Stegostoma tigrinum: one gene and its partners. The protein of the gene in region 3 purifies or fractionates together with the protein of the main gene of each other region. This does not show direct contact. Links are inferred from orthologs where the notes say so. Each region holds a gene or a part of one and is shown on either strand. Other genes may lie near its edges.

Evidence for each region. The genes of interacting proteins can lie anywhere in the genome.
Region 1: the proteins of ruvbl2 (region 3) and eftud2 purify together in Homo sapiens (affinity purification with mass spectrometry; 5 studies listed by BioGRID and IntAct, with this or other methods). This does not show direct contact. The link is inferred for Stegostoma tigrinum from reciprocal best matches to the Homo sapiens genes RUVBL2 and EFTUD2.
Region 2: the proteins of ruvbl2 (region 3) and ctnnb1 purify together in Homo sapiens (affinity purification with mass spectrometry; 5 studies listed by BioGRID, with this or other methods). This does not show direct contact. The link is inferred for Stegostoma tigrinum from reciprocal best matches to the Homo sapiens genes RUVBL2 and CTNNB1.

Annotation. Positions count from the first base shown.
Region 1 is NC_081384.1:27,961,072-27,968,832, reverse strand, and holds the start of eftud2 (116 kDa U5 small nuclear ribonucleoprotein component), read right to left. Parts: upstream 3,078-7,761; 5' UTR 2,956-3,077; intron 1-2,955. UniProt on the Homo sapiens protein: Required for pre-mRNA splicing as component of the spliceosome, including pre-catalytic, catalytic and post-catalytic spliceosomal complexes. Component of the U5 snRNP and the U4/U6-U5 tri-snRNP complex, a building block of the spliceosome.
Region 2 is NC_081355.1:8,431,276-8,438,192, reverse strand, and holds the start of ctnnb1 (catenin beta-1), read right to left. Parts: upstream 3,078-6,917; 5' UTR 2,967-3,077; exon of another isoform or gene 2,961-2,966; intron 2,877-2,960; exon of another isoform or gene 2,747-2,876; intron 1-2,746. UniProt on the Homo sapiens protein: Key downstream component of the canonical Wnt signaling pathway.
Region 3 is NC_081391.1:18,535,636-18,542,624, reverse strand, and holds the start of ruvbl2 (ruvB-like 2), read right to left. Parts: upstream 3,082-6,989; 5' UTR 2,999-3,081; coding exon 2,990-2,998; intron 1-2,989. UniProt on the Homo sapiens protein: Possesses single-stranded DNA-stimulated ATPase and ATP-dependent DNA helicase (5' to 3') activity; hexamerization is thought to be critical for ATP hydrolysis and adjacent subunits in the ring-like structure contribute to the ATPase activity.

The DNA of each region.
Region 1 (7,761 bases), on a different chromosome or scaffold from region 3:
TCCCAGGAAAATCCTTCCCACTAGCTGGTCTACCTCTGGCTACTGCCTCACCTGCATCAACGCTCACCTCTGGTATACAGCTCAGGTTCCCACCCCCCTGCCATACTAGTTTAAACCCTCTCGAACTACTCGAGCAAACCTTCCACCCAGGACATTGGTCCCCTTCCAGTTCAGATGCAACCCGTCCTTCTTGTACAGGTCCCACCTTCCCCAGAAGGCATCCCAATTATCAACATATCTGAAGCCCTCCCTCCTACACCAGCTGCGTAGCCACGTGTTCAGCTGCGCCCGCTCCCTGTTCCTCACCTCGCTATCTCGTGGCACCGGTAGTAAACCAGAGAACACTACTCTGTTCGTCCTGCTCTGCAGCTTCCATCCTAACTCCCTGAAATCACTTTTTATATCCTCAAACCTATTTCTGGTTATATCATTTGTGCCAATATGTAACACGATTTCTGGCTGTTCACCCTCCCCTTTCAGAACTTTATACACCCGATCGGAGACGTCCCGGACCCTGGCACCAGGGAGGCAACATACCTTCCGGGAATCCCGATCTTGCCCACAAAATCTCCTGTCGATTCCCCTAACTATCGAGTCCCCTACCACGAGTACTTTTCTATTCTGCCCCCTTCCCTTCTTTGCCACAGTGTCAGGCTCAGTGCGAGAGAACTGACTACTATGGCTTTCCTCTGGTAGGTCAACCCCCCCAGCAGTATCCAAAACGGTATACTTATTGCTGAGGGGAATGCCCACAGGGGATCTCTGCACTGTCTGTCTGTCCCCTTTCCTCCCCCTAACTGTAACCCATCTATCCTCGTCCTGAGCCTTAGGAGTGACCAACTCCCGATAACTCCTCTCAATTACCCCCTCTGCCTCCCGAATGATCCGTAGTTCATCCAGCTCCAGCTCCATTTCCCTAACACGGTTTTCAAGGAGCTGTAGCTGGGTGCACTTCCCGCAAATGTAGCCAGCGGAGACGTGTGCCACATCTCCCAACTGCCACATTTTGCAGAGGAGCAAGCAACTGCCCTAGCATCCATACCCCACTTATCTGAACACCCACTCAATACTAAAGCAGAAAGCTCACTTCAAGTAATAATAACAAATTAATAACAAACTTATGTTCAATAGAGAAAGTTTAGAATGAACCTTACCTTATTAACTAGGTTAGAGGAGGAGGGCGGGTGGGAGACACTACAGTTGTAGAGTCTCGGGTTAAGCCGCCTTGCTGATATATATATAAATTATTCTTTCTTTCATGCACTGAAACAGTACATAAAAAAGACTATTTCACCCATCATGCTTGTGCTGGTTCTTTGGTAGAATGTTCATCATCCCATTTTGCCCCATAGCCTTGTTTCTACAATCTAATTTTTAAAGTTATTATTGAGTCTGCTTCCAGCACACTCATATTTCAGATCACAACAACTTGCTTTTTAAATGTGTTTCCTCAAGTCTTTTTTGCTAATATTATATCTATGTCCTTGGTCATTCACCCTCTGCCTCTGAAAACAGTTTCTTATTATCTCCTCTTAATTTTCTGGGCTCTAAGGAAAATAAGCCCCGTTTCTTGTGTCCAATTAACATCCATCCTTCATCAGTGTAAAAGCAAAATACGCCAGACTTTGAAGGGTTGAAATAAAAGCAGAAAAAGTGTTGGAGAAATTCAGCAGATTTGGCAGTATCAATGCAAAAAGAAGGAAAGCTAACATTTCAAGCCTGATATGAATTTTCTTTGTGAACCAAATAAAGTTACATATTACACAATTATTCTTCCCAGAGATGCTATCACAGCTTCCTCAACACATTGTTTTTCTTCAAAACTAAATTGGTGAGTTTCTTCTACATCCTTTTCAAGGTCTTCTAAAGTGTAGTGCTCCAAACTGAAAGCACACAAAACCCCTTCACTATGGCCCAATTAGATAGGTTTTCCATAACTCCTTTGGCTTTTATAATGTAGACCTCGATAAATAAAGCAAGGATTTCGCAAAGAAATACAAAGCCTTCATCAAGACCTTTTTTGTTCCTCTTTCCCCACGAACATTGAACAGGGTAGTTTATACAGGGGAGGCAGGGACTCTTGTGGTGCAATGGGAGTCTCCCTACCCAGGAAGGCCTGGGTTCAAATCTCACCTACTCCAGAGATGAGTAGTAACTTCTCTGAATAAGTTAATTAGAAAATATCTATATTTTGTACATATCCTGAATGATGTGACATGGATTACTGAAGAATTATACTACAGTTGTCTTCAGTAAGGTAGGGGTTTAGTGTGAAAGGGTGCTGGGATTGGAGAAGGACTGACATCTGCAACACAAAAGTTGTAGTGGCTCAGTGGTTAGCACTGCTGCCTCACAGCTTTCCATCCTTGGGCAACTGTCCGTGTGGAGTTTGTACATTCTCCCCATGTCTGCTTGGGTTGCCTCTGGTGTTCTGGTTTCCTCCCACAGTCCAAAGATGTGCAGGTTAGGGCGGATTGGCCATGCTAAATTGCCCAGTGTTCAGGGATGTGTAGGTTAGGTGGGTTACAGGTCTGGGTGGGATGCTCTGAGGCTCGGTGTGGACTTGTTGGGTCGAAGGGCTTGTTTCCATACTATAAGGATTCGATGATCTATGATGATCTAAAGTAATAATGGCTTGTGCAGAACTGCTTAATCACTAGGGGTTCCTGTGGTGTATTGGTAATGTCACAACCTCTGAGGCAAGAGGCTCACTTTCAAGTCCCCGCTGCTCCAGAGCCGTGTAATAACGTCCCTGATAAGGAAGTTGATAAGGAAAATATTTACAACATGTAGGTTCCAGGCCCCTCGGTGTTACTGGATGCTGGGATTGGTGGTTGGGAGAGAAAGAGAGAGAGAGAGAGAGAGGCGGAGGGCCATTTTGGAAGACGGCGAGGAGGAAGTTTCTATCAAACCGTAGCAGCCTCGATGATGAGGGAAGACAGCAGCTAGACTTACATTCGACTCCGGGTTTTATCCCGCTCTGTCTCGGCCTCCACCTCGCTCAGACGAAGGAGCGCGACTGCATGACAACCGCGCGACACTCACTCAGGAAGGACCCCCACTTTGTCCGGCGCAGCCGCCTGACTCTAAAGACAGAAATAACTCCGCTAGAAATGTCTTCAAGTAACTCTCCGATTATACTGTCAGACTTTAGTAAAAGGAAATGTGGTTCCATGTTTAAATGAAAGGTGGGAGCAAAAAATCAGGCTGTATGGTCATGACCAGTGATTGAGCCTTTCTGCACATAATCCTTGTTCTGCTGAAACTCCTGTTTTCAGGAATAATGTTCCCTCCGCCTCATCATTCTCCCATAGGCATTAATCTTAGAATTTCTGAAGGAAAATAAGTTAACATTTCCATTCTAATATTACATAAGGAGCAGTTTGTTTTCTTTCAGCGTCTGCATAGTACTCTGAGGTACAGTTCAAAATGACAGCAGCGTAATGGTAGGAATAGAGTCGAGCATCAAAAACATGCCACGCACATAAACCGGAGGTTGATGAATCAAAATTAGCCTCCGCTAGGTAATTGCAGCAGTGAATGGACGCGGTCTTTCATCCACAGCAGCAGTAAGTGTAACCCTACCTTCAGATCATTAGACAGTCCCACCTGCTCCAGGTGCCTGAACAGGTTGATTTAAAGATATCTATATTTCATGTCAAACACGACGAGTTATTTGCAAAGTTCTAGCCCCTTTGTATACCATAGAGGCCTTTAGACAGCAATCTTGCCCCCTTGTGAGTGGAGCAGGTGATGGTGGTGAATGGGCAGATACTGGTCCAAGCTTGGCAGATAGCTGGGAAAGTTTAAATTGAAATTTAGGCTCAGAAATATTGACTGTAAAATAATTGGCTTTTCTTTTTAAAATATCTGGTTCATAAATAGTCATTAGGAGAGAAAATCTCTTTACCCTCCTCACCTGATGTATGTAGTCAATGCGTATCTAGACACATAGAATGACAGTTGATTCTCAACTGTCTCTGAAATGGCCTAGTAAAGCCCTGAATTCAAGAGCAGATAAGGACGGGGAACAAGTTCTGGCTTTGCCATAACACACTCACATCATGAAAGTTTTTAAAAATGTCTGGATTTAGTAGTCATTGTAGCATCATGCCTTGAAAGATGCATGTTGAAAGTGTTCATAAGTCCCAACTTAGAAGGAGCAATTAACCTAATATATGGAAAGCTGCAAAAAGGTCCCAACTCTGAATTGGAGTCAGACCAGAACTGACCCCAACTAACACTCCTCTGACCCAACACCTTCACCACTTGATTCCCTTACCTAACGTTCTGTCATCCTAGCCCTTCACCCACCTGCCATCCTACTCTATCACCCACCTAACTTATAGACTCACTTTTTCTCTGTACTTTGCCCAAATGCTTTGGGACCTTTAAACTCTGAATTACAAAAGTAAATAGGGGATGTGGTTTGATCTGCAGCCCTGATCCCACGCTATGATGGAAGACTCCAGATTGTTTACATGGCACATTTGTCAAATGGACCAATTTGTAAATCCGGGTCAGAAATGTGGAGTACCTTGGGAAAAGTAGGAAGACAGGTGTGGAGTTGCAGTCTGAATAGATTGCCACACTTCAGATAATGCAACTCAAATGTTCTTCACTGTTATATTTAAAGGCTCAGTGAAGTCCTTTTCCTAATACAACATCTTCACCATTCACTCAGTTTCAGCACCCACTGTTCTGTCCAACCTTGATTCTCGTGGAGCTCATTCTTAATAAGATATTTGAATTCTGAAATGTGACTACCCTTCATAAAGCAAGGCAGAAGGATGTCTCTCCTCCTGCACTGGTGAGTCATGTTTTGGTCGTCTTTGTGGCTGGGCAGGCTGATGGTAGAACATGTACTGGTTCAGGCACCAAAGGTAAAAGGACTGTGCAAGAGGCAAAACAGTTTCCCACACACTGCCAATAAATGTAGGATAAATGGTATACTGGGGAGCCAATGACCAGGACAAAGGTTGAAAAGTAAAGTTTCAGGATGATTCCAAAAATGCAGGGCTTTTTCTTCTCTGTTCTTTCACTCGATGTGGACTTCCCCATCAATGTCCCACTTATTGGTCGTGCCTATTTGCCCTTGAAAGTGAGCGACTTAAAAGGCCGTTCAGAGTGTTGTTGAGAATCAACTACATTACTATGAGCCTGCAATTACGTGTAGACCAGACCAGATAAGGACAGCAGACTTTGTTCTCTAAAAGACATTAATGAACCGAGTGTGTAAATCATCCATGTGAGTATTTGTGGCTGCACCAATCTCTAGTTCATCCCACAAACACATAATCATAGATCTTGGTAAGTGCCAACCCGTAACATTTAGTCATTGACATCTATTTACACTCATTGGTAGACCAATAAATTTCAAACAGACCAAAGATAGTCATTCACCAACTGATGCTCCACCAGTGATTCTTGTCTCAGTTTGTGTCCCTTGGAACACCTTCTGGAAAATGGAGTCCATCATTACAGAGATGATTAGGATGAGTGTTGAGAGAAACTATTGTGTCTTGTCCTTGACCTTCAGGTGGGGAGACTGTGCCAGAATAGAACATTACTGCAGATGCTAGAATTTTTACTGAAAACAAAAAATGCTGGAAATCACAATGGGTCAGGCAGCATCCGTGAAGAGAGAGGAAGCTAATGTTTTGCGTCTAGACGACTCCGCATCAGAGCTGACCTGAAGTGTGGAGGGGGCAGCATTTATGCAACGGTATGGGAGTGGAGTGCTGAGGGAGAAAGGGTGTTGATAGTGCAAATTAAGTGACTGGAATGTGAGAATGGTCTCTGATCACTTAATTTGCACTATCAGCACCATTTCTCCCCCAGCACTCTGCCCCCACACCGTTGCATAAATGCTGCCCCCTCCACATTTCATGTCAGCTCTGATGAAGAGTCATTTAGGCTTGAAACATTAGCTTGCTGTCGGCCCATCGATGCCACTGACTCGTTGCGATTTCCAGTATTCTTTTTCAGACGCTGCCAAAGTACCTCTCCCCAAAGCCAGGCCAAGTGCAGCAATGTTCACACATGGATCACTTTCTATCACACTATTTGGAAAAGATAACTTAAGGAGATTATTGGATAAGATACACAAGGTGTCATACAGTTAATTATTTTTAAGATGCTACATGTGAAAATACTTCTAAATGTTCAACATCATTGCAATATGTAACATAAAGTAGATCTTACAAATTACAGGACCTAAAGATTAAATCAATTGTATGTTGAGGAAATTCTCATTACAGTAAGCCATTTCAAAAATCAGCAGCGAAGAGCTAATCACAAGATAGATTAAAGAAACAAACTTGTACTCCATTGCAAGTCTTTCTTCTGAAATATGCATAACAAAGCCTTCCACAACCAGCCCAGCTCATCTCTACCTTCCTAACCTGTCTTCCTCTCACCTACCCCCCCCCCCCCCCCCCCCCCACCCCACCTCAAGCCGTATCCCCATTTCCTCAGACTAACCTCATCCTGGCCCCTTGACCTGTCCGTCCTCCCCGGACTGACCTATCTCCTCCCTACCTCCCCACCTACAGTCACCTCTACTGGCTCCATCCCGGCCTCTTTAACTTGTCTGTTTCCTCTCCACCTATCTTCTCCTCTATCCATCTTCGATCCACCTCTCCCTCTCTCCTTATTTATTTCAGAACCCTCTTCTCCTCCCCATTTTCTGATGAAGGGTCTAGGCCCAAAACGTCAGCTTTTGTGCTTCTAAGATGCCGCTTGGCCTGCTGTGTTCATCCAGCTCCACATTTTGTTATCTCGGATTCTCCAGCATCTGCAGTTCCCATCATCTCTGAGTCATTTTCTACATTCATTTTGAGGTTAAGTGGCAATCCTTGTCAAATTGTTCTTCCTGTTGACTATCTTGCTTGTAATGAAATACTGTGTCACTTTTCATATATTTCAACCTGTGCTTTTTGCCATTCTGGCCAGTTGCAGAAATAACATTCTTAGATAATTGTCATTCTTGACTTTTTTTAATGTGTGTGGTGCCCGTTTGAGTGGATTGTATGCCAGAGCTTGAGCTGTGGTCACCTAGGATAACCCTTGTTGTCCAGTTGCCTCTGTCTGATTTTGAGTGTTGTCTCAAATGTAGGTGGCTTGGTGCATGAATGAAGGCATTATGCCTGCTGCCAGAATATCAGGTATTGAATTGTATAATGCATTGATTTCCAGCTGGATGTTAAGGGAGTTGAATTCCTTTTCCTCAGAGTTGTCATATGGCAGAAACAGCACAGTTTGTGTGCAGTTCATGCGTCATTTGGAAACCAACAATCCTTATGAAGCTGCTCCATCTGCATAATCTGGTAAGAGAGAATGAAATATATTCAGCTCTCTTGTAATCAAGAACCTTAACAATGTTGCATTTGGATTGTGGAATAGGCTTGAGGGGCTAATCGGTTAATTTCTATCAATATTAATCTTTATAAGATCTCTCCTTACATGTCTTTTTTATGGCCTGAAGTACACTACCTTATCAAATGATTCTTCATAAAGCACATTGCTATACCAGAGATCAGCCTTATTGTTTCTCTTGGCATTGTTTTAAGTCTCCTTATGTTCCGATACTGGGGGCGTAGTAATGCTCTGGACATGTTTCGCCAATGCATTATACAACATCATCATGACTTACAGAATTGGAAGTTAATCGATTTGGCAGTACAATCTGGTACACCTGCATGAGAGAGAGACATTTGCTTCGTCTAATGAAAACAAAGAATATGAAAGCTGTAGGGGCAT
Region 2 (6,917 bases), on a different chromosome or scaffold from region 3:
TGTAGTACAAGACCACACTCAACAGCATACCACTTAAGTGACACTCAGCACAATTCACAAGGAAGCAAAACAGGGCAGTCGAGGACTCCAGCTTGCTTTTCATATGCACAGGGAGGGGTTAGTGCAACTGATAAATCCTTCTCTGCTCCCCCTATTGTTTACAATTATAGAGTAATCCAGTGCAGTACTGTGATGATTGGTGGCCAGCAGCCTTCAAACCACAGTCCAACTGGAGCCACAATGTTCACGAAAGGAGAGATAAAGGGTATAATTATCAAAATACAAATGCTAACTTAACATCTTTAAATTTCTTTCTGCTGCACTGTTTAGTGCAAACAAAACAGCTGCAATAAAATGTACAACATATACCAGAACAATGAAATTCATGCAGCATCACCACTTCTGGTGAAACTATGAGAACACTAATTTTTCAAAAAAAAGTCATTTTCAACAGCTTTCTCAATTTCATAATCAGACAGCAATAAAAGAAATCAGTAATTGGAATGCAACATCCACTGAATGAATTGTCATGCTCATAATAGTATAAAATAAAGCAGTTACAAGTCACCAAGTCCAATGACACCAAAATACATGAAGCCCATAAATAAACAGAACAGCCTTTAAGTTTAGCCAATAGTTTAAAATGCAAAGCATGTATTGCAATACAAACCTCAAATCGTGACCACAGATCTTTTGTGACTACTGAAAATTTTGTTCTTATTATGAGATACTAGAACTGGATTTCAGAGATGGAATTCTGACTTTGTATCCATTTTCCCAGAAGATGTACACTACTGTCAATACATATTATCGTGTGCTAAAAACATCTGGTCAGTCACATAGGAAAAACCAGTTGGTCCTAAACACTTCACATTTTATTTTCTAAGTTAAATACATAATGAAATTTCAAACAAATTGTTTGATACTACACCATCATGTTTCTCTTTCCACTCAAAATGGAAGTGCCTCAACTTAACATCCAAGTCTACCAACAGTACAAGATTCCTGCTTCTACATGAAATCCCAACTTTCATTTGAAACTGTAATTAATGCACTGTACAGAGGGAAAACAAACTTGCAAACCATGAAAATACTCAGAAACCAACTACAATGAATACAGATGTGTAACTATCGATACGAAGATTTGAGATTTACATACACACAACATGCAGACAACAGATCTGACATGTAAATCAACAATTCACAGAAGCAGAATGTAGGAAAGAGACTAGAAAGATAACCCACAATTGTCACAGTCGTGGCCACACTAAACTTATGTACTCTGCAAATGGTATCCTCAGAACATGAAACATGCAGCAAAAGCCCATATCACAACAAGACACTGGAAGAAAATAGATAGTTTAAACTTGCTCTAAATTTATCAAAATGAATTTGTGCATGTATGCGCCTTTCCTCATTGAGGTTAATAGATAATCCACTGCTTAAAAATTACATACTAGTGTAAAAACAGATCTATTTGCCTATGATAAAGCATTTATCAGCAAAAATCTCAAAATGCAAATCCCAGACTGCTGTATGAGTCACCTACTCATTTGGTTGTTAATGAGCAAGTTTTGTCCCATTTCATCAATTTTCACCAAATACAGCTCAGGATTCCAGGCAATTTCTCAACCATCTCAGCATATACTTGCACACTCAAAGTTTGGGTGTTAAGCTGCATGCTGCCAATTTAGAAAACAAAATCACTTCACCAATGGAAACCCACTTTGTAATTTCACCCAGTTAAGGCATTCACTTTCCCACACTCCTATAATTTACAGATGCACTTTTACAACCTGTGGTAAAGAGTTAACTCTACAACCTTTGTAGCCCAGTCTTGTAGCCATGAAGCCGGGAAAACACTGGCCCCTCTGCTTCCAAACTTCTTAAGCCAAGTAGGAACACCCTCCCATCTCCCTGTCCAGACTGGAGATGCAAACACCTGCCCTCCACCAAAGTAGAAACCCATCCCACCACATCCACGTTGGGATTTAAAAACACATTCAGGGTAACGATCGTATCTCTCTCGCTCTCTTTCCCCCAGCCCGGGAACACAATTTCTGCCCCTTCCCACAGTAATTAGCACAAAGCTCCATGGTTACAAACTGTCTCCCACCCCCTCAGGGTAAACAACCTCCATCTCACTTCTGCCCCCTACTGGGGTAAATTTTCCCTACTTAAGCCCCTCAGATTAAAGACCACCTTTTCAATTCTTCCTCCAACAGGTTAAGCATCCTCACACCTAACTTGTCTCCACTCTCCAGTTGAACCCCCATCCCCTCCCCCGATTTGGGGTAAAGCCCTCTCCAGTTGCCCCCTTTCTGGGGGGGGGGGAGAAATTCCTTCCAGTTCTGAGGGTTCTCTCCCCCCCATGAGGGTAAAGGTGCCCCCCCTCCCCCAGAGGGTTGGAAGCTCCCCTCTGCTCTCCCTCCGGGGGAGAAGATACACCCTCCTCTCTCTCTCTCTAGCCCCCCCTCCCCTCCCAATCACCCACGGTTTTAAACCCCTCTTTCTCCTGCCCCCTCTCTGGGGTAAACTCCAACCCCCTTTTCTCCTGATAATAAACACCCGCCCTTCCCCCGATGCCACGTTGTTCGGGAGTTAATCGACTTTTCGATCTTTTAATTCTGAAAGCGGGAGGATCTGGAAACTCAGTCCCTCCTCACTCACCACCTCGAGAACAACCTCTAATCCACCCCCTCTCCCAAGGGAAGGGCCGGAGAAGGCCGGGCTCTTTCTCACCCACCGTCGCTGAAGGACGGGCACCTCTAAAGTCGGGAAGCAGCGGCCACTCCAACTCCTCTCCGCGGCTTCGAGAGTGATCGCGGGGGTGACGGTGAACTCTTAACTTCTTTACGTATTTTTAATAAATGTCTTCGCTCTTCCTCCGGGTCGCCCCGCTATCAGCTCTGCCCACCACCATCTCTCTCTCCCACGCCCCACTTTTCCCTTTCACATACACTCACTCTCTTACACTCCTCCTCCTCCGTCTCCCGCTTTCCAACAACCGCCGCTGCCAGCGACTCCAATCAAAATGGCGACCGGCAGCAACGTCTCTTTATAAAGTGGCAGCGACACGGTGCGTGCCCCTCCGCCTGCGGAATGTAGTGCGTAATTTTCCAGCCCACACCTGGCAGAAGGAAGGTGAAAAGGGGGGTGTTTATAATTAAAATAACAATAACTTAACCCTTCTCCGGCCTTTATCACACGCAGACAACGCATAAACCTATGTCAAACTTAAAATTTTACAGCACAGTCTAGAGTTGGGTTATGTTTGATCTGATTTGTGACTGTTGATAAAACCTATTTTTGCCTATGCCCACCCCCATTTCTTTTCTACTGCTCCCTTACCCAGGCCCGGAACGTCGCGGAAGGATACTGGCTAGGTGCCGTAGCCACAACACCTTGTGGTCAAGGATCGCTGGAACCACAGAGGCAGCGAGTAGCAGCTCAGCGAAGCAACTTTATTTTTGCAGCTGCAATGAGACTTTCCACCATATGCATAACATCCTTTTATTTATTTGGACTTTTATGTTCGTGAATTTCATATACGTTTCTGCATTGGGGCCAGAATTGCAATAAATTTCTCCCCTCCCTTTCCCACCAAACTTGCATTCTTCGCGATTGAGTTTTTAACTTTCTAAAGTAAACAGTTAACTTCAAAGACCCGAGTTTTGCAAACACAAAAGACGAAGCGTGGGGATAAAAAGAAACCCGCACCATTTTCTTTCGTCGGGGAGGAGAGCGAGCCTCAAGAGTTATTTTGGTTGTAACACGTACGAGTTAAGCATTTCAAAAAGTAATGAACTCACCCAAAATTCATTGAAATTCACGGAAGTAGAGATGTACAAAGTTCACTTCTAGGCATCCCACACAAAGGAAAAATGCTGCAGCATTAGTGGAAAAAGTATTCCAGTGTGCAAAAATACTTAAGTCGCAGCCTGGTTGGATTACCGAAAGCAAAACCGATCCTAAAAATAAGGCTAGAACAATGTGGTCTTTTATTTGCAAAAGTAATTTTTCTATTCCCACTTACTTCCCACATGAATCTTCCTGGCTCAATCTAAAAAGAAAACAAAGCTAAATCAATTATGATTTATAACCTTCGGAACTGCATCATTTATTTATAAACGTTAGCTTCAAGCTGTGCAAATGTAAAGTAACCACACTATCCATGAAATGGAACCCCAAATGAAGTATTTAAGCCTTGAATTATGTGAGATTTGTAATTCTTATTGGTGAAGACGGCATCTGGCGTATTATTAGCGAAAAGTGTTACATATAATATGCAATTATATTTTTACATTCAGAAGGTTCTTATGCTCAAGACATTTTTAAAAATCAGTCAATGAAATACTTGTGAAGTGTAGTAAATGAAGAATACAGCAGTCAAAATTGTGTCACGGTTGTGTAGCATGTACTGTGGTGATCTTACAAAGCAATACAGATAGGTTAAGTGAGTGGACAAAAGAACTGGTAACGAGTATAATGTGGCAAAGTGGGAAATTATCCATTTTGGCAGAAACAGCAAAAAAAATGCATATTATCTAACTGGTGAGAGGTTGCACCGCTCTGAGATGCAGAGAGGTCTGCGTGCTTGTGCATGAATCAAGGAGGGTTGGTACAAAGGTACAGCAAATGGTTAGGAAAACTAATAGAATATTATGTTTTATTTTGAGGGAAATTTAATGCAACATTAGGGAGGTTATGTTTCAGTTATAGAGGACTTTAGTGAGACTGCATCCAAATTATGGTATAAGTACTGGTCAACATACTTACAGAAGGATGTTAATGTATTGGAAACTGTGCAGGAAAGATTTACTCGACTAATAACTGGAATGAACAGATAGCCTTATGAGGAAAGGTTAGGCCTGTGTTGTCAGGAGTTTAGAAGAGTCAAAGGGACTTCATTGAAGCACAGAAGATCCTTCTGAGGGGCCTTGAGCAGGTGGATATCATGTGAATCTCTTGTAAGGGAACCTAGAATAAGAGGTCACAGTTTAAAAGTGAATGGTCACCCCTTTAAATCAGTGATATGGAAAAAATTCTCCCCGAGGATTGAGAATCTTTGGAATTCCCTTCCTCAAAACACAGTGGATGCAGAATCTTTAAATATTTTTAAAGCAGAAGTAGACAGATTCTTGATTCCTGAGGGGTTCAAAATTATCGATGGGATATGCGGGAACGAAGAGTTGTGGTTAAAATCAGATCAGCCATGATCTTATTGAATGGGGGAACAGGCTCAACGGGCCAAGTGGCCTACTCTTGTTCCTTCTTATGTTTATATCCCTACACCATGAGAACAGCAGGAGCTCATGAGGGCAGCACACTCTCAGTTTTTCCATGGCAATTATGGATGGGCAACATATGCTGATGTAACCAATGGCTCCCACATGTGCTGTTGAACAAATAAAAAGAACAGCTGCCTGACGTTGAGATATATTCCCAGCATTTTCACATATTTTATTTAACTGTATACTTTGATAGTTAATCATTGTCTAGGTAACCACTGTCTGATTTCATAAACAGAATCATCTATTAGTACCCATCACATTTGAGTGTCATTGTGCAGCCACTCACTGATTGGTTGGTTGAGCTTTATTTTGCTGTAATTCAACTCAAACATGATATCATGGGAGTGACTGCCTGATCCTGTGACCCAGCAGCATCTTTATCTGAGGCATGACCTCAATCGAACACAGCTCGCCATTGGAAGATGTCAATATGCGTATTGGACTGGGGTGGACAAAGTCAAAAGTCGCATGACACCAACTTATAGTTTAGTTCAACAAGTTTATTTGCAATCACAAACTTTTGGAGCACTGCTCCTTCGCCAGTGGCAGCATATGGGATTGTGATACAAACTCAAATAAGTTTAACAGGTTGGATGACATTCTGGAATCCTGTGGTACATATATTGTACCTTTTCTTAAAGTCATTTTTGTAACCCTTTTTTCTGTCCTTTTTTTTCTCACCTGTTTTTTGCATGTCCTCAATAACTATTTGCTGATTATTGCCAATACCACTTAATTTCCAGGCATTAGAAGGCAGTTGATATCTGCACAATATAACTAGCTCTCTGGTACTTAATTTCATATGGAATTACTTAGATCTTATGTGTTACTGCCCAATTGAAGCATTATTAAGACCTGCAACTCAACACATGTAACATGCAAGCCAGAGTACTTCTGTCAACCAGTACTTGATACTTCCTGCCCCGAAACATGAATTTAAGTCTTTTGATTGCAGCATCCTCACTATATAATATGTGTCAGTGCCTTATGGTACAGATTTCATTGATATTGTGACCTCTTGAGAATACCAAATTTAAACGTATCACCATGGGTAGCTGTGCCTTCATCTGCAAATGTCCTAAACTCTGAAATCCTTCCTTGAAACCCTCTACCTCTCTTCTCCTTTTTCTTTTCTTCAAAATGCTCCTCAAAAAGCCTACCTTTTTGGCAATCTTTTTGTCATCTTGTCAAAGGCTGCAATCAGCTGAGCCATGATCATATTGAATGGTGGTATAGATTTACTGGGCTGAATGGCCTACTGCCAATTATAATTCTCATGTTCTTAGGATTTACATTACTTGCTGCAAAATCTTTTTCCTGTATTGTGCCTGTAAAGTACATTGAGGTGTTTCACCGTTTGAGAGGTGCGTTATAAATATATAATGGGGGCAGAATGGCACTAGACTATTAATCCAGAGACCCAGGCAACATTTTGGGACCCGAGTTTAAATTCTTCCATAGCAGATGGAATCAACAGTCCAGTGATGATCATGAAAATCTTGTCAATGGTTGGAAAAGCCCATCTGGTTCACTAATGTCCTTTTGGGAAGGAAACTGTCATCCTTACCTACTATGGCCTACATGTGACTCTAGACCGACAGCAATGTGGTTGACTCTTAGGAA
Region 3 (6,989 bases):
TTGGCCAGAACACAATGAGACGTTGATGATGCAGCCGTGCTTTTCGCTCTCAACTACAGTCCTGTGCCTTGCAGCATCCTGAAAGGCCAAAGGTTTTAACATTTCCCACTCTTCCTGGTTCTTTCCTCTGAAACTTTCTTCTTTGCTGCTGGATCAAATTAACTTCAAAGCATATTTGAATACAGAATTGTACTGATCAGATAAAGTGGAAAGACTCATTTCTGCCTGGTAGCCTATGGCCAGAGCAAAGTGAACTAAGGATCAATTCTCTTCATTTTTATATTTTTGTTAAGGGACAACAGTTGAATAAACTCTGAAGCTTTGCCGACATCCACGTGTCTAGCTGTTATCCTTGCAGATGAGTTGCTTCTTTAAGAGCCTCTCTGCCTACTGTATTAGTTTAGGTATGTCTTCAGCTCCCCAAGCACTAACTAAAGAGCAGTTTTCAAGTTTCCCCAGCGTAGGGGAGTCCAAAACTAGAGGGCATAGATTTAATATGAGAGGAACGATTTAAAAGGGACTCGAGGGGCAACTTTTTCACACAGAGGGTGGTGTGTAAATGGAACAAGCTGCCAGAGGAAGTGGTAAAAGTATGTACAATTACAACATTTTAAAGACATTTGAACAGGTGTTTGGATAAGAAATGTTTAGAGGGATGTAGACCAAATGCAGGTAAATGGGACTAGTTTAATTTAGAAAACCTGATCGGAAATTGGCTGGCTGAAAGAAGACAGAGGGGTGGTAGTTGATGGGAAATGTTCATCCTGGAGAGCAGTTACTAGTGGTGTACTGGAAGGGTCGGTGTTGAGTCTACTGGTGTTTGTCATATTTATAAATGACCTGGATGAGGGCATAGAAGGATGGGTTAGTAAATTTTGCAGACGACACTAAGGTCGGTGGAGTTGTGGATAGTGACGAAGGATGCTGTAGGTTGCAGAGAGACATGGATAAGCTGCAGAGCTGGGCTGAGAGGTGACAAATGGAGTTTAATGCAGACAAGTGTGGGGGGGGGAGGGGGGGAGTGTGTGGGGGGGGGGGAGTGTGTGGGGGGGGGGAGTGTGTGGGGGGGGGGGAGAGTGTGTGGGGGGGGGGGAGTGTGTGGGGGGGGGGGGGGGAGTGTGTGGGGGGGGGGAGTGTGTGGGGGGGGGGAGTGTGGGGGGGGGGAGTGTGTGGGGGGGGGGGGAGTGTGTGGGGGGGGGGGAGTGTGTGTGGGGGGGGGAGTGTGTGTGGGGGGGGAGTGTGTGTGGGGGGGGGAGTGTGTGTGGGGGGGGAGTGTGTGTGGGGGGGGGAGTGTGTGTGGGGGGGGAGTGTGTGTGGGGGGGGGGAGTGTGTGGGGGGAGTGTGGGGGGGGGGGAGTGTGGGGGGAGTGTGGGGGGGGGGAGTGTGGGGGGGGGAGTGTGGGGGGGGGAGGGAGTGTGGGGGGGGAGGGAGTGTGGGGGGGGAGTGTGGGGGGGGGGGGAGTGTGGGGGGGGGGGGAGTGTGGGGGGGGGGGAGTGTGGGGGGGGGGGGGAGTGTGGGGGGGGGAGTGTGGGGGGGGGAGTGTGGGGGGGGGGAGTGTGGGGGGGGGGGAGTGTGTGGGGGGGGGAGCGTGTGTGGGGGGGGGAGCGTGTGGGGGGGGGGAGTGCGTGGGGGGGGAGTGCGTGGGGGGGGGAGTGCGTGGGGGTGGGAGTGCGTGGGGGGGGAGTGCGTGGGGGGGGAGTGCGTGGGGGGGGGGGAGTGCGTGGGGGGGGGGTGCGTGGGGGGGGGGGTGTGCGTGGGGGGGGGGGAGTGCGTGCGGGGGGGGTGCGTGCGGGGGGGGGAAGTGTGTGGGGGGGGGAAGTGTGTGGGGGGGGGTGTGCGTGCGTGGGGGGGGGAGAGTGCGTGCGTGCGGGGGGGGGGGGGGGAGTGTGCGTGCGTGCGGGGGGGGAGTGTGTGCCTGCAGGGAGGGGGCGGGAGAGAGTGCATGCGTGTGGGGGGGGGGTGTGGGGGGGGGAGGGTGTGGGGGGAGTGTGTGGGGGGGGAGGGAGTGTGTGGGGGGGGAGTGTGTGGGGGGGGAGGGAGTGTGTGGGGGGGGAGAAGAGTGTGTGGGGGGGGAGAGTGTGTGGGGGGGGAGAGAGTGTGTGGGGGGGGGGAGAGTGTGTGGGGGGGGGAGAGTGTGTGGGGGGGGAGAGTGTGTGGGGGGGGAGAGTGTGTGGGGGGGGGAGTGTGTGGGGGGGGGAGGGTGTGGGGGGGGGAGGGTGTGGGGGGGGGGGAGAGGGGTGTGGGGGGGGGGGAGGGTGTGGGGGGGGGGAGGGTGTGGGGGGGAGTGTGTGGGGGGGGAGGGAGTGTGTGGGGGGGGAGGGAGTGTGTGGGGGGGGAGGGATGTGTGGGGGGGGGGGAGTGTGTGGGGGGGAGGGAGTGTGTGGGGGGGGGAAGAGTGTGTGGGGGGGGGAAGAGTGTGTGGGGGGGGAGAGTGTGTGGGGGGGGGAGAGTGTGTGGGGGGGGGAGAGTGTGTGGGGGGGGAGAGTGTGTGGGGGGGGGAGTGTGTGGGGGGGGGGAGTGTGTGGGGGGGGGGGGAGTGTGTGGGGGGGAGTGTGCGTGTGGCGGGGGAGTGTGCGTGTGGCGGGGGGGGGAGTGTGCGTGTGGGGGGGGGGAGTGTGTGCGGGGGGGGAGTGTGTGGGGGGGGGGGAGTGTGTGGGGGGGGGGGGAGTGTGTGCGGGGGGGGAGTGTGTGCGGGGGGGGGGAGGGAGTGTGTGCGGGGGGGGGAGGGATGGGAGTGTGCGCGGTGGGGGGGGGGGGAGGGGAGTGTGAGGGGAATTTGGGGGCCGGTGGGGACGGGGACGGTAAGAGCCCGGGCACCAGGATCTCGAACATTCTGCAGCCGCGCAGCTCCCTCCGCCGGGAATCTCTGCCCGTTCTAACGGGGGCCCGCTCCCGCTTGGATAACAACGGAATGCTCTCCCCTACCCCGGGGGGGTGGTGAGGGCTCTCCCCCGAGGATCTGTCTCGCCGTCCCCCGGTCCCCGCTCACCGTTGCCATGCTGCTGCCGCCACCGGTTTCCAACCACCGACAACACTTCCGGCTGTACCACCCGCCCAGCTCCGACGAGGAAACAAAAGCGCCGAAACTAGGTTCCGCTCCAGTCCTTCCTTCCTCCGCCAAACCCAAGTTCATCACTATCAACAACAACAGCTTGTACATACCATACTCTAGCGCCTATTACGCAATGAAACCTCCCAAAGCGTTTTTCAGGATCATTATCGAATGAAGTCTGACTATGAATAAAAGCTTGATCGTGGGTTTTAAGATCCATAAGGAGGTGATTAAGCCAGATATAATGGAGACAGTAAGAGACTTCCAGAGTTTTGGAATCCATTAGCAGCTGAATGTACAGTTCCCAGTAGTGGAGCAATTGTTGGTGGGAATCAAAAGAGGCCAGAAATAAAAGACGGGGGTTACTCAATTCGAGGTTTGTGAGGCTGAAGGGAATTACCAAGATAAGTTATCCTAATTTCCAAAACATTTGATGGCTGGGTTTTCATAGACCCACTACAGTGCAGAAAGAGGCCATTTGGCTCATTGAGTCTGCACCAATCCTTTGAAGAACATCCCACCCATCCTATCCCCATAAACCTGCATGGCCATTTCACCTAGCCAGCACACCTCTGAACTGTGGGAGGAAACCAGACCACCAGGCAGAAGCAGGGAGGACATGCAAACTCCACATAGACAATTGCCTGAGACTTGAATCTAAGTGCCTGGTACTGTGAGGAAGCAGTGCTTGCTACTAAGCCACCTGGGGATTCATTATATTTCAGTAGCATGGTAGACTTAACTGGTAATATCTAAGAGAGGCATTTGGGTTTAAGAAAGAATGAGGCTACAGTTTATGGAAGTAATGGCTGATCTATAGTTCAACTTCCTATAATAACATAATAAAAAGGAATAAGTGAGCTGACTTCACCATTGACAGCAATTCCACTTACCAATCCCAAACCAATTTAAGGTGTAAAAATATATCGATGTCTGTCTTGGAATATATATTTCTATAGTGCATAATATCATTTTGATAAGGTTGGTTCTTCTGAAGCAGAACCCCTGACATGAGCCAGTTATGTTGAGTGCCTGTTTTGGTACTGTGAGCTCAATTGTAAGATAATTTCACATGAAGAAGATTTTGTTTTATTCATTCATGAAATGCATTAATCACTGGCTAGGTCAACATTTATTGCCCATCCCTAATTGCCCAGAGTCAACCATATTACTGTGTTGTCTGAGTCACGCGTAGGCCAGACGAGGTAAAGATGGCAGTTTCCTCCCCTAAAGGACTTTACTGAACCAGATGGGTTTTTCCTGGCTATCAACAATGGATTCAGGGTCATCTTTAGACTCCTGATTTTGGATATTTATTGAATTCAAATTCCATCATCTGCCTTAGGAAGCCTTAAAACCAGCTTTGAATTTTACCAGGGTCTCTGGACTAAGACTCCAGTGACAATTGCCACTGGACCCAGTCCCAGTGCGGAGCGCGGTGACAGAGGCCCAGTCCCAGTGAGGGGGGTGGTGGCAGTGACCCAGTCTCAGTGAGGAGGGGGGTGGCAGTGACCCAGTCCCAGTGAGGAGGGGGGTGGCAGTGACCCAGTCTCAGTGCGGAGGGGGGTGGCAGTGACCCAGTCTCAGTGCGGAGGGGGGTGGCAGTGACCCAGTCTCAGGGTGGAGGGTGATGACAGTGATCCATTTCCAGTTGGAGCGTGGTGGCAGTGACCCAGTCCCAGTGTGGAGCCCGGTGGCAGTGACCCAGTCCCAGTGTGGAGGGTGATGACAGTGACCCAGTCCCAGTGTGGAGGGTGATGACAGTGACCCAGTCCCAGTGTGGAGCTCGGTGGCAGTGACCCAGTCCCAGTGAGGAGGGCGGTAGCAGTGACCCAGTCCCAGTGTGGAGCCCGGTGGCAGTGACCCAGTCCCAGTGTGGAGGGTGATGACAGTGACCCAGTCCCAGTGTGGAGGGTGATGACAGTGACCCAGTCCCAGTGTGGAGCCCGGTGGCAGTGACCCAGTCCCAGTGTGGAGCTCGGTGGCAGTGACCCAGTCCCAGTGAGGAGGGCGGTGGCAGTGACCCAGTCCCAGTGTGGAGCTCGGTGGCAGTGACCCAGTCCCAGTGAGGAGGGCGGTGGCAGTGACCCAGTCCCAGTGTGGAGCTCGGTGGCAGTGACCCAGTCCCAGTGAGGAGGGCGGTGGCAGTGACCCAGTCCCAGTGTGGAACCTGGTGGCTGTGACCTAGTCACAGTGCGGAGGGCGGTGGCAGTGACCCAGTCCCAGTGCGGAGGGCGGTGGCAGTGACCCAGTCCCAGTGAGGAGGGCGGTGGCAGTGACCCAGTCCCAGTGTGGAGCCCGGTGGCAGTGACCCAGTCCCAGTGAGGAGGGCGGTGGCAGTGACCCAGTCCCAGTGTGGAGGTCGGTGGCAGTGACCCAGTCCCAGTGTGGAGGTCGGTGGCAGTGACCCAGTCCCAGTGAGGAGGGCGGTGGCAGTGACCCAGTCCCAGTGTGGAGGGCGGTGGCAGTGACCCAGTCCCAGTGTGGAGGTCGGTGGCTGTGACCTAGTCCCAGTGTGGAGCGCGGTGGCAGTGACCCAGTCCCAGTGTGGAGGTCGGTGGCTGTGACCTAGTCCCAGTGTGGAGCGCGGTGGCAGTGACCCAGTCCCAGTGAGGAGGGCGGTGGCAGTGACCCAGTCCCAGTGAGGAGGGTGATGACAGTGACCCAGTCCCAGTGCAGAGCACGGTAGCAGTGTCCCAGTCCCAGTGTGACACATGGCGGTAGTGACCCAGTCCCAGTGTGGAGCCCGATAGCAGTGACCCAGTCCCAGTGTGGAGCCCGGTGGCAGTGACCCAGCCCCAGTGTGGAGCCCGGTGGCAGTGACCCAGTCCCAGTGAGGAGCCAGGTAGCAGTGACCCAGTCCCAGTGTGGAGACAGGTAGCAGTGACCCAGTCCCAGTGTGGAGCCCGGTAGCAGTGACCCAGTCCCAGTGTGGAGCTCGGTGGCAGTGACCCAGTCCCAGTGTGGAGCCCGGTGGCAGTGACCCAGTCCCAGTGTGGAGCCCGGTGGCAGTGACCCAGTCCCAGTGTGGAGCCAGGTAGCAGTGACCCAGTCCCAGTGTGGAGCCCGGTGGCAGTGACCCAGCCCCAGTGTGGAGCCCGGTGGCAGTGACCCAGTCCCAGTGAGGAGCCAGGTAGCAGTGACCCAGTCCCAGTGTGGAGACAGGTAGCAGTGACCCAGTCCCAGTGTGGAGCCCGGTAGCAGTGACCCAGTCCCAGTGTGGAGCTCGGTGGCAGTGACCCAGTCCCAGTGTGGAGCCCGGTGGCAGTGACCCAGTCCCAGTGTGGAGCCCGGTGGCAGTGACCCAGTCCCAGTGTGGAGCCAGGTAGCAGTGACCCAGTCCCAGTGTGGAGACAGGTAGCAGTGACCCAGTCCCAGTGTGGAGCCAGGTAGCAGTGACCCAGTCCCAGTGTGGAGCCCGGTGGCAGTGACCCAGTCCCAGTGTGGAGACAGGTAGCAGTGACCCAGTCCCAGTGTGGAGCCCGGTGGCAGTGACCCAGTCCCAGTGTGGAGCCAGGTAGCAGTGACCCAGTCCCAGTGTGGAGCCCGGTGGCAGTGACCCAGTCCCAGTGTGGAGCCCGGTGGCAATGGCCCAGTCCCAGTGTGGAGCCCGGTGGCAGTGACCCAGTCCCAGTGTGGAGCCAGGTAGCAGTGACCCAGTCCCAGTGTGGAGCCCGGTGGCAGTGACCCAGTCCCAGTGTGGAGCCCGGTAGCAGTGACCCAGTCCCAGTGTGGAGCCCGGTGGCAGTGACCCAGTCCCAGTGTGGAGCCCGGTGGCAGTGACCCAGTCCCAGTGTGGAGCCCGGTGGCAATGGCCCAGTCCCAGTGTGGAGCGCGGCAGCAGCTGGTGGTCAGACCGTGTGGACACTCACTGCGCTGGTCTGCTGCAAAGAGCCGTTGGAGAGAGACTGTTGTTTAACTTTGCTTCCTGTTTTTC